Linked DNA regions of Caenorhabditis elegans. The protein of the gene in region 2 purifies or fractionates together with the protein of the main gene of each other region. This does not show direct contact. Each region holds a gene or a part of one and is shown on either strand. Other genes may lie near its edges.

What was found.
Region 1: the proteins of zyg-1 (region 2) and sel-10 purify together in Caenorhabditis elegans (affinity purification with western blotting, with the first as the bait; one study listed by BioGRID). This does not show direct contact.

What each region holds. Positions count from the first base shown.
Region 1 is NC_003283.11:13,817,216-13,820,970, reverse strand, and holds the start of sel-10 (F-box/WD repeat-containing protein sel-10), read right to left. Parts: upstream 1,611-3,755; 5' UTR 1,607-1,610; coding exon 1,517-1,606; intron 1,452-1,516; coding exon 1,384-1,451; intron 1,342-1,383; coding exon 1,245-1,341; exon of another isoform or gene 1,122-1,244; intron 1,011-1,121; coding exon 876-1,010; intron 828-875; coding exon 682-827; intron 634-681; coding exon 514-633; intron 454-513; coding exon 61-453; intron 1-60. UniProt on the Caenorhabditis elegans protein: Probable substrate recognition component of SCF (SKP1-CUL-F-box protein) E3 ubiquitin-protein ligase complex, which mediates the ubiquitination and subsequent proteasomal degradation of target proteins.
Region 2 is NC_003280.10:5,647,748-5,651,502, reverse strand, and holds the start of zyg-1 (putative serine/threonine-protein kinase zyg-1), read right to left. Parts: upstream 1,756-3,755; 5' UTR 1,730-1,755; coding exon 1,697-1,729; intron 1,642-1,696; coding exon 1,549-1,641; intron 1,468-1,548; coding exon 652-1,467; intron 569-651; coding exon 201-568; intron 110-200; exon of another isoform or gene 65-109; coding exon of another isoform or gene 1-64. Other genes in the region: bli-2 (Nematode cuticle collagen N-terminal domain-containing protein), read left to right, coding at 1-64; F59E12.17 (Anaphase-promoting complex subunit 13), read left to right, coding at 2,062-2,145, 2,219-2,374; sam-4 (BLOC-1-related complex subunit 5), read left to right, coding at 2,429-2,721, 2,768-2,975, 3,094-3,315; ddl-1 (WASH complex subunit homolog 3), read left to right, coding at 3,629-3,673, 3,723-3,755. UniProt on the Caenorhabditis elegans protein: Protein kinase that plays a central role in centrosome duplication, control of centrosome size, spindle formation and nuclear envelope breakdown during cell divisions.

The DNA.
Region 1 (3,755 bases), on a different chromosome or scaffold from region 2:
CCCGAAATTTTCAGTATTAAATTTCTTTTTCCAAGCAGTTATCATAGTGAATAGCCTTACATGGAACCAGCCATAGCCATGCATCGAACAGTGGAAGTATGTCCTTGAAGTGTATGAAGAAGTGAACCATCTACAGTACTCCAAACTTTTACAGTTCTATCAGTGGACCCGCTAACAATATATCTTCCGCATTGAGAAATCTGTGATGTCCAAACTCCTCCAGTGTGGCCGACTAGTGTGTACATAACCTCTCCTTTGTCAATACACCATACTTTAAGAGTGTTATCGTCAGATCCAGTCACCAAGACATCATCATGAATTTGCATACAAGTGATTACATGATCTTCGTGTCCTCGTAGCACTGCTGACCCCATAATTGGATTCGCATTCCAGTTCTTTTCAATTTTATCGGCTCGAAGATAACGTGACTTGTCAGCAGCGCGTTCGAAGATACTGAAAATAAATCGAATGTGATCGGAACGTCTTTAAAAATAATATTTCCAATAAACGTACTCTCCAAACTTCTGCAACTTTAGAAATCGATGAACATTAAGATCACATGGCTGAATGTGATCAGGAATAGTGACTCCAGCAGCAATTGCAGTTCCTTGCCACGCACCAGTAACTCGGTCTCTGAAAAGATAATACTAATCTCAAATAATTCCCGTTCAAAAGTATTACGTGGGATCTGGATGATGTTTAAACTCTTCGACACCAAGACTCTTCCAAATTTTGTCAATTTCAGATATCAATTTCCAATTTTTCGACACCTGTGCCACTTTGAGCAGGTCATATCCGGTTAAATTGTGAAGGATTTTCATTCCGAGCTGAAAAAGTTATATTTATAATTTTTCTTTCCGTTTCAACACAAATACCTCGACAGGGAGGCAGGAGAGGAAATCACGCTGGAAATGGGGTTCAATAATGGCACGCAGCTGTCGAATATTTGTCATGTTGGATTCCTGAAGCAGACGTGTGAATGCATCCATTTGTTCCGCGCTTGATAGATCCTAAAATGAATTCAAATTACACTTTTTTTCAGCAAAAATAGAGCGAATATGCCTGGCTGAGGTGCTCTCTTCAAGGTTTGGAAAAATCAATAATACACAGGTCACCCTCACCGGAGCTTGAATGCATTGTTTTGTCATGTTACTAATTATTGTCGCATTCAAATATTAATTTATTGCATGTGTATTAGCCGCAACGCTGAAAGATTGATCGCGACAATCAATCAATATGTTTACCTTGAATAATGCGATCAAATGTTCGACACGCGGATTGAGGTCGTTGTTTCGAGAGGGAGAAGCCGATAAATCAAGTTTGTGTTGCAAAGGTCTGGAACTGGTACGTTTTGCTATAAATATTCACTACAAAAAGGCTTACGACGATAATTTGTCAGCATTGTAGCTGGAAGAAGAGCCATTGCTGTACGAGCTTTCTTCTCCATTGTCCTGAAGACAAACATTTCAATTAGAATTAAATTATATTCTGAAAAGGGTTGTAAATGTTAACATACATTATATTCCATATCATTATCGGTAACAGGCTCCTGGTCCTCCGGTGTCATCGATCCATCATCCATGTGTACATCATTTCGTGGCCACATATGGCTGAAAAAGAATTGGAAATGAATAAAGGACAAAAACTACTGGGAATGAAGAATTTGAACACAAAAGGAAAGTCGATAAAACTATGATTTTCGTGAGAAAATGAGAAGAGAAGATGAAAGCTTTTTGCACGCGATATGCGTCAAGGCATCCAGTAGTGCGCCAATAACCGCTTGACGCATTTTCCGACGCGCACGTTTGTTCACTTGATGTTCACACGATGAAACATTTTCTATGCATATAAAGTGTATAAAGTTGATAAGATAACTTCAACAAATATTCTCGTGTAAAATAAAATATAAAATGTCCGACTTGTCGGTCACATAATCAGTTTCACAGAAGAAGCAGGTGTTCGATGGTCACTGCTGTTGCATATGACAGCTGGGTTCTCGTCCTTCATGATGGTGCAGAAAAATGTGTTCAACCTTGTTTCAAAATCATTTTTACGGAAAGGTTGTTTCGTATTGCACAAGTAAACCATCCTTATAAATTTCAGGATAATAAGGAATTTAAAAAACGAACTGCATCCCACGAAAACTCTTGTTTTGAAATTTTAAACTGAGTATATTAATTCAGTTTTTGAATAAAATAATACATATAGGTAATATGGTTTTTTAAAACAAGTGATTCAATTTACAACCACAAAAGAAAAATGATTTAAAATCTGTAACATTCTGAACGTAATGTGGTATTTCCATAACTGAATTCAAAAGAATTATGACCATCTGTGGCTACCGAGGGGGTAATTTTATGGAAATGAATACCATAAACTGACAGAAAAAGAGACACGAACACCTGCCACAATTGGAAACAATCGCTTTGGAATTTCTGTATAATATTTCTTCACAAATGTCAAGAACTATTTCTGATATGATAACACATTCATGACTAAACTGCAATTCCCATCTGAAATACGTTAGTTGAGTCATAGCTCACTATTTGCTCCATTTCTTTGTTTTTCACACTTTATTGGCTTTGTATTGCGGGGGGACGAATATGAAAGAATTGAGATGTGATTGAGAGGATTCAATTCATAAATTGTACTGATATTTATCAGCGAAAGTTAAAATTCATATTTGTCAGCAACACATCACATTTGCAAGATATATATTCAATATGCTAGAAATTGCACAAAACCGAAAAATACGATTATTTGAAATAGCCTACATTCTCTGAAAACGGAAATTCCGATTGTTCGACTTCAGGAGGAGCCACAATTTCCAACACTTTTGATATGTTTATTTAGTGAAATAAAAACTGAAATAAAATCCAAATCTATTCAAGAATGACGTTGGTATCAGACAATAAATTCGTGAAATATATTTTTATTTTCACGCCTTTCTACCTATATCATTTCGATAAAAAAAGGACGACGAAACATGAAAATAATTAAATTAAAATAATTTGGCAATTTTGATACTAGTCCAGCTCCAGTATGTCAAAAAATTCGATTAGTTGAAAGAGACCTGACCAATTCGGAAATTTCTGTAGAACGATTTTGGAAAGCTGAAAAAATGTTTTCTTGGAAGATTTTCACATTATAATTAAAATTTGAACTGCAAAACTATAGAAACAAAAACAGAATAAAAATGAGCTCTAATTGTAAATTTAAGGATAAAATCAAATACCAACATCATACGTGTTGCCAAAATTTAGGGTTTTCGGTATGGTGTCTAGAAAATGAAATAGTGGGTATACCTGATTTAAAATTAAAAAGTGTTCAGTCTGTTGTTAAGACTATTATATGTTGCCCACAAATTATTAAAAATGGGTATTTCAGAAAAACAAATGTATTATTTTTGTAGAGCTTTATTTATTTTCAAATATAAATGGCCAACTTACAAACTTTTTGATTACAATATGATGATCTGTTTGTTGGTTTATCGAAAAACGGCATGTTCAGAAATTGCCGAAATTGAACATTTTTTAGAAAATTCCTTGATTACCGCCCACCCCTACAACAAAAGAACTACGGTATTTACTTTCTGATCCGATTTGAAATTCTGGTAATCTACGTGTGTTCAAAAGTTGAAGTGGAAGCATCAAAAATGGATGCAACTTTGAAACTACTTTTAGGCACAATTTAATTACTCCCATTTTCATCCGAGATCATTGAGATCCAGACACAACCATCGTTCAATGTGATTT
Region 2 (3,755 bases):
AGAACCAGGAACCGGAGGAGGATGTGAACACTGTCCAACACCGAGAACTGCTCCAGGATATTAAATTGTTCATTGTTATAATTATTGGCGGAATGAACGTTTTTAAAATAATTTCAGCTAAAAATTTAGAAAAGAAGACAAAATATGGTGTTACTAGTTTCTACAAACGTTTCCGTTTTTTAATAGAATAATTAACTTACGAAGTATAAACAAAAGGATTGTTCGTCAACGTAATCAATTCTTCTTCTCCATTTCTTCCGCGTACTGTTCTATCAGGTATTCGATGTACATAAACCGTTTGAACCATTTCATCAACTTCGACAATCAAAATTCGTTTAACGAAATTCCCTTGAGCTGCAACTTCAAACCGACAACGAGTATCCAATTCAACAATATATCGTCCTCCAGCAGTACAAACTCTTTGTCCTTCTAACCTATCCATTCGGATCGGCCACAACTGTGAACGGTTTCGATCTTCACGGCTTGGAGGTACGGTACCGCGGCCACTGTCTCTATCCCGTTCTCTTCCTCTCTCAGAATCAAATCCTCTTGAAGATGTAGAAGGCATCTAAAAATAAATTGTAATATATTTTTAATGCATTTAATTGTCAAAAATAAAATAAAATTTTTGTGATCTGCTGGAACACTTACCCTGTCATGAATTGGTCGATTGCTCAGCGGTGCTCTGCCAGAATGTGCAGGTTGACTCGAAGACCTTATCAGAGCTCTGCCATCTCGAGATCGATCATCTCTTGAGGATCTTACTGGTTCCCTCGATCTCTGTCGTCGTCCATCCCGCGAGTGTTCTCTCGAGAAGATTACCGCATTTTCATTCGTATTCTCGTACATGAACTCTGATAAAACTATCTGCGTTAACGGAATACGCTTCTTTGCATCTGTATCCATCATTTGTTCCACTAATCTAGCAGCATTTGGTGACATTCCGCAGGTTGGTGGTAGTCCTTTAGGTGGGGGATTACGAGCAGTGAGCATAGTATAGAGAACTGCACCAAGAGAATATACATCGGCAGACTGGGTATATTCTTGATCGTATACTTGTGGAGCAATGAATCCTGGTGTTCCGACAATTGTACATGTGGTCTCACCACGCCCAAGAGTGGTCGCGAGGCCAAAATCGCCAAGTTTAACCGTCATTTTCTTCTTTTTCGAGTCTTTGATGAACACATTACCAGCCGAGAGGTCTCGGTGAATAACATTCACCCTGTGCATAAAAGATACAGCAGAAATCAGCTGTCGTAAAACATGAACTGCTGTTGCGTCGTCCAGAGCTCCGTGCTCCCGCACATAAGCTTGAAGAGATCCTCCTTCGCACAACTCCATGACTATGTATGTATAACCATCTTCAACGAAATCTTCGTAAAACTCGACCACATATTTGCTTTTCTTCAATTCCTTCATCGTTTGAATTTCCGTCCAAACACGATTTTTTGGCACCTTTTTATCGATCTGAAAATACAATTTTTGTAAAGAAAAAAAGTAGAAAAATTGTCCCATTCGAATATCTTTAGAAAACAGCATGAAACTTACCCTCTTAATCGCCACCTTCTCTCCATTTTCTCTTTGTGCTGCATATACAACGCCGAATCCACCTTTCCCGATTTCTTTTAAATGTGAATAGGCCTGAAGAAAATATAGATTCTTACATGGTATCGGCAAAAATAGTAGAAATACCTACACTCAATCTTGAACCACTCTTCCCACCGCTCATCTCATAGTTGATCAACACTTGGTGCGCTAAAAATAAGATGAAAAAACACAAAAAATAGGAAAAATAAATTTGGAGTTTGAAAAATCCGTTTTGGCGGCCGAGGGACTAGAATTCATATTTCGGTCGTCTGTCAGTAGAGCGCAACTGTTCAGTTATCGGTTTTCTCTGCGTCTCTCGTTTCGTAATGTGTTCAAACTCAACGCGCTCTCCAGGTCTGCACAATTTTTCTTTTTATTCCTTTTTGGAGTTTTCCATTTATTTTAAACGTTTCCGATTAAAAATACATAAAATTATTGATTACAGGATAAGGAAACTTCGGAGAAAGCCATCGTATGTCGTTCGTCCCATCAGAAGTTCGACTTGATCACACATTTTTAGAGTGGGACAAAGAGTGGATATTCCAGCGTCTGCCAAAGGTTTGTGACAAGCTTTTCGAATAATTAAAGTGTAAAACCCGTAAGTATTGAAATTAAAATTATTCATTTTTAGACCGAGATTCAAATTCCGCGCGAGTTTGAGCCAGATATCGAAACCGACGCAATTCCCACCATTGCTCGTCAGCCCGCCGACCCAAACACTACCTGGAACGAGACTGGTTTGGATCAAATTCAAATGGGACCAACCATCAATAGTACAAAAAATTAAATCAAGGTTTGTGAAAGTTGATGTAATTTTTTAACTTCTTACACAAATTTTCAGATGGGAAACGAACAAAGCTCGTCAACAGCGGGCACATCATCTAATCCTCAAAATCAACAGTCGTCTTTTTCATTTCTCACTCGAGCCAGTACTAAACGATCAAAAGGCATTATCACGGTCAAAGATGGCAATATTCCTCAAGAAAAACTCGAAGATGATGAAATTTACAAAAGATTCACCGAAATTCCCCGTTTTTTGCCGGTGATTCCAGCCGTAATAGGCAAACGAGATCCACAAACGAATCAAGGAGCTTCTTACACTCATCAAAAAATCAGTTCGCGGCCCTTTTTTCGGTAAGATTTATTCCTTTTATTCAAAGTTTTAAAGTCACATATTCAGACTAGCAACACGATTACAAGAACATTTTGCCGTTAATGCGAAAGCAGTGGCAGCAGATCAAGCTAAAATTCCAGCAACTTGCAAGAGTGTTGAAGCGAAAATGATCAGACTTATTGAAGAAACAAGAGCTCATAAAGAACAACATGACGGTTTTATGGCTGCATTGAGCGGACTTAATCAATTGCACGATGACATCTGTAGTATTCAGGTGCGAATTAGAAAAAGAAACAATATTTAATGCATCATACCAAAATTGATTTTTAAAATGTTGCACCTTACATTTTTGCTCAAAAAACTTGCTCCGTTTATCAAAAATTAATTTTCAGATAATTCTTGAAGATATTGTGCCAATGGTTGAAACGCTTAATGAAATTCTAACTCCCGACGAACGTCTTCCTCCTCTTAATCTTGGCTCAGTGCTCGACAGATCTCCCGTTCCAAGCAGTGATAGCTCACTTCAAAGTACGCCCCGCCATAATCAAAATATTGGTCATATTGATCAAATTGAGCCGATTGAAGAAATCCGCGTAGTTGATCTACCAAAATAATTAATTTGTAAATTTTTATTCTCTTCTTGAATCTGTTGCCCTATCGCCCTTCCCAAAAAGTCTTGAAGGCTTTATCTCACTTTCTTCTCGCAATATCAAAATTCCATTGCCGTTTTGTGATTTTTTATTTAGTTCATGCACATATTTATCCGTCAATCCTATTTTGATTTCTAAATTTATCATAAATTCTAGTATTTTTCGCAAATTAATCTAATTAATTTACTTTGAATCTAACTTATATGGTTTGTGCCTTTTTCATATTTCCATTTCTTGTAATTAATTGCATCATTAATTAATTTTTAGATCACCAGCAATGAATGCGAGCTCCAGAACCAAACCTGCAATCGATTTGAACAAGGTAATATCTTAAAATCTCATCATAAAACTTTAAAGCTAAATTTTTTAAGGTTCCTCCGATCGATCATCACCGTACAGCAGTA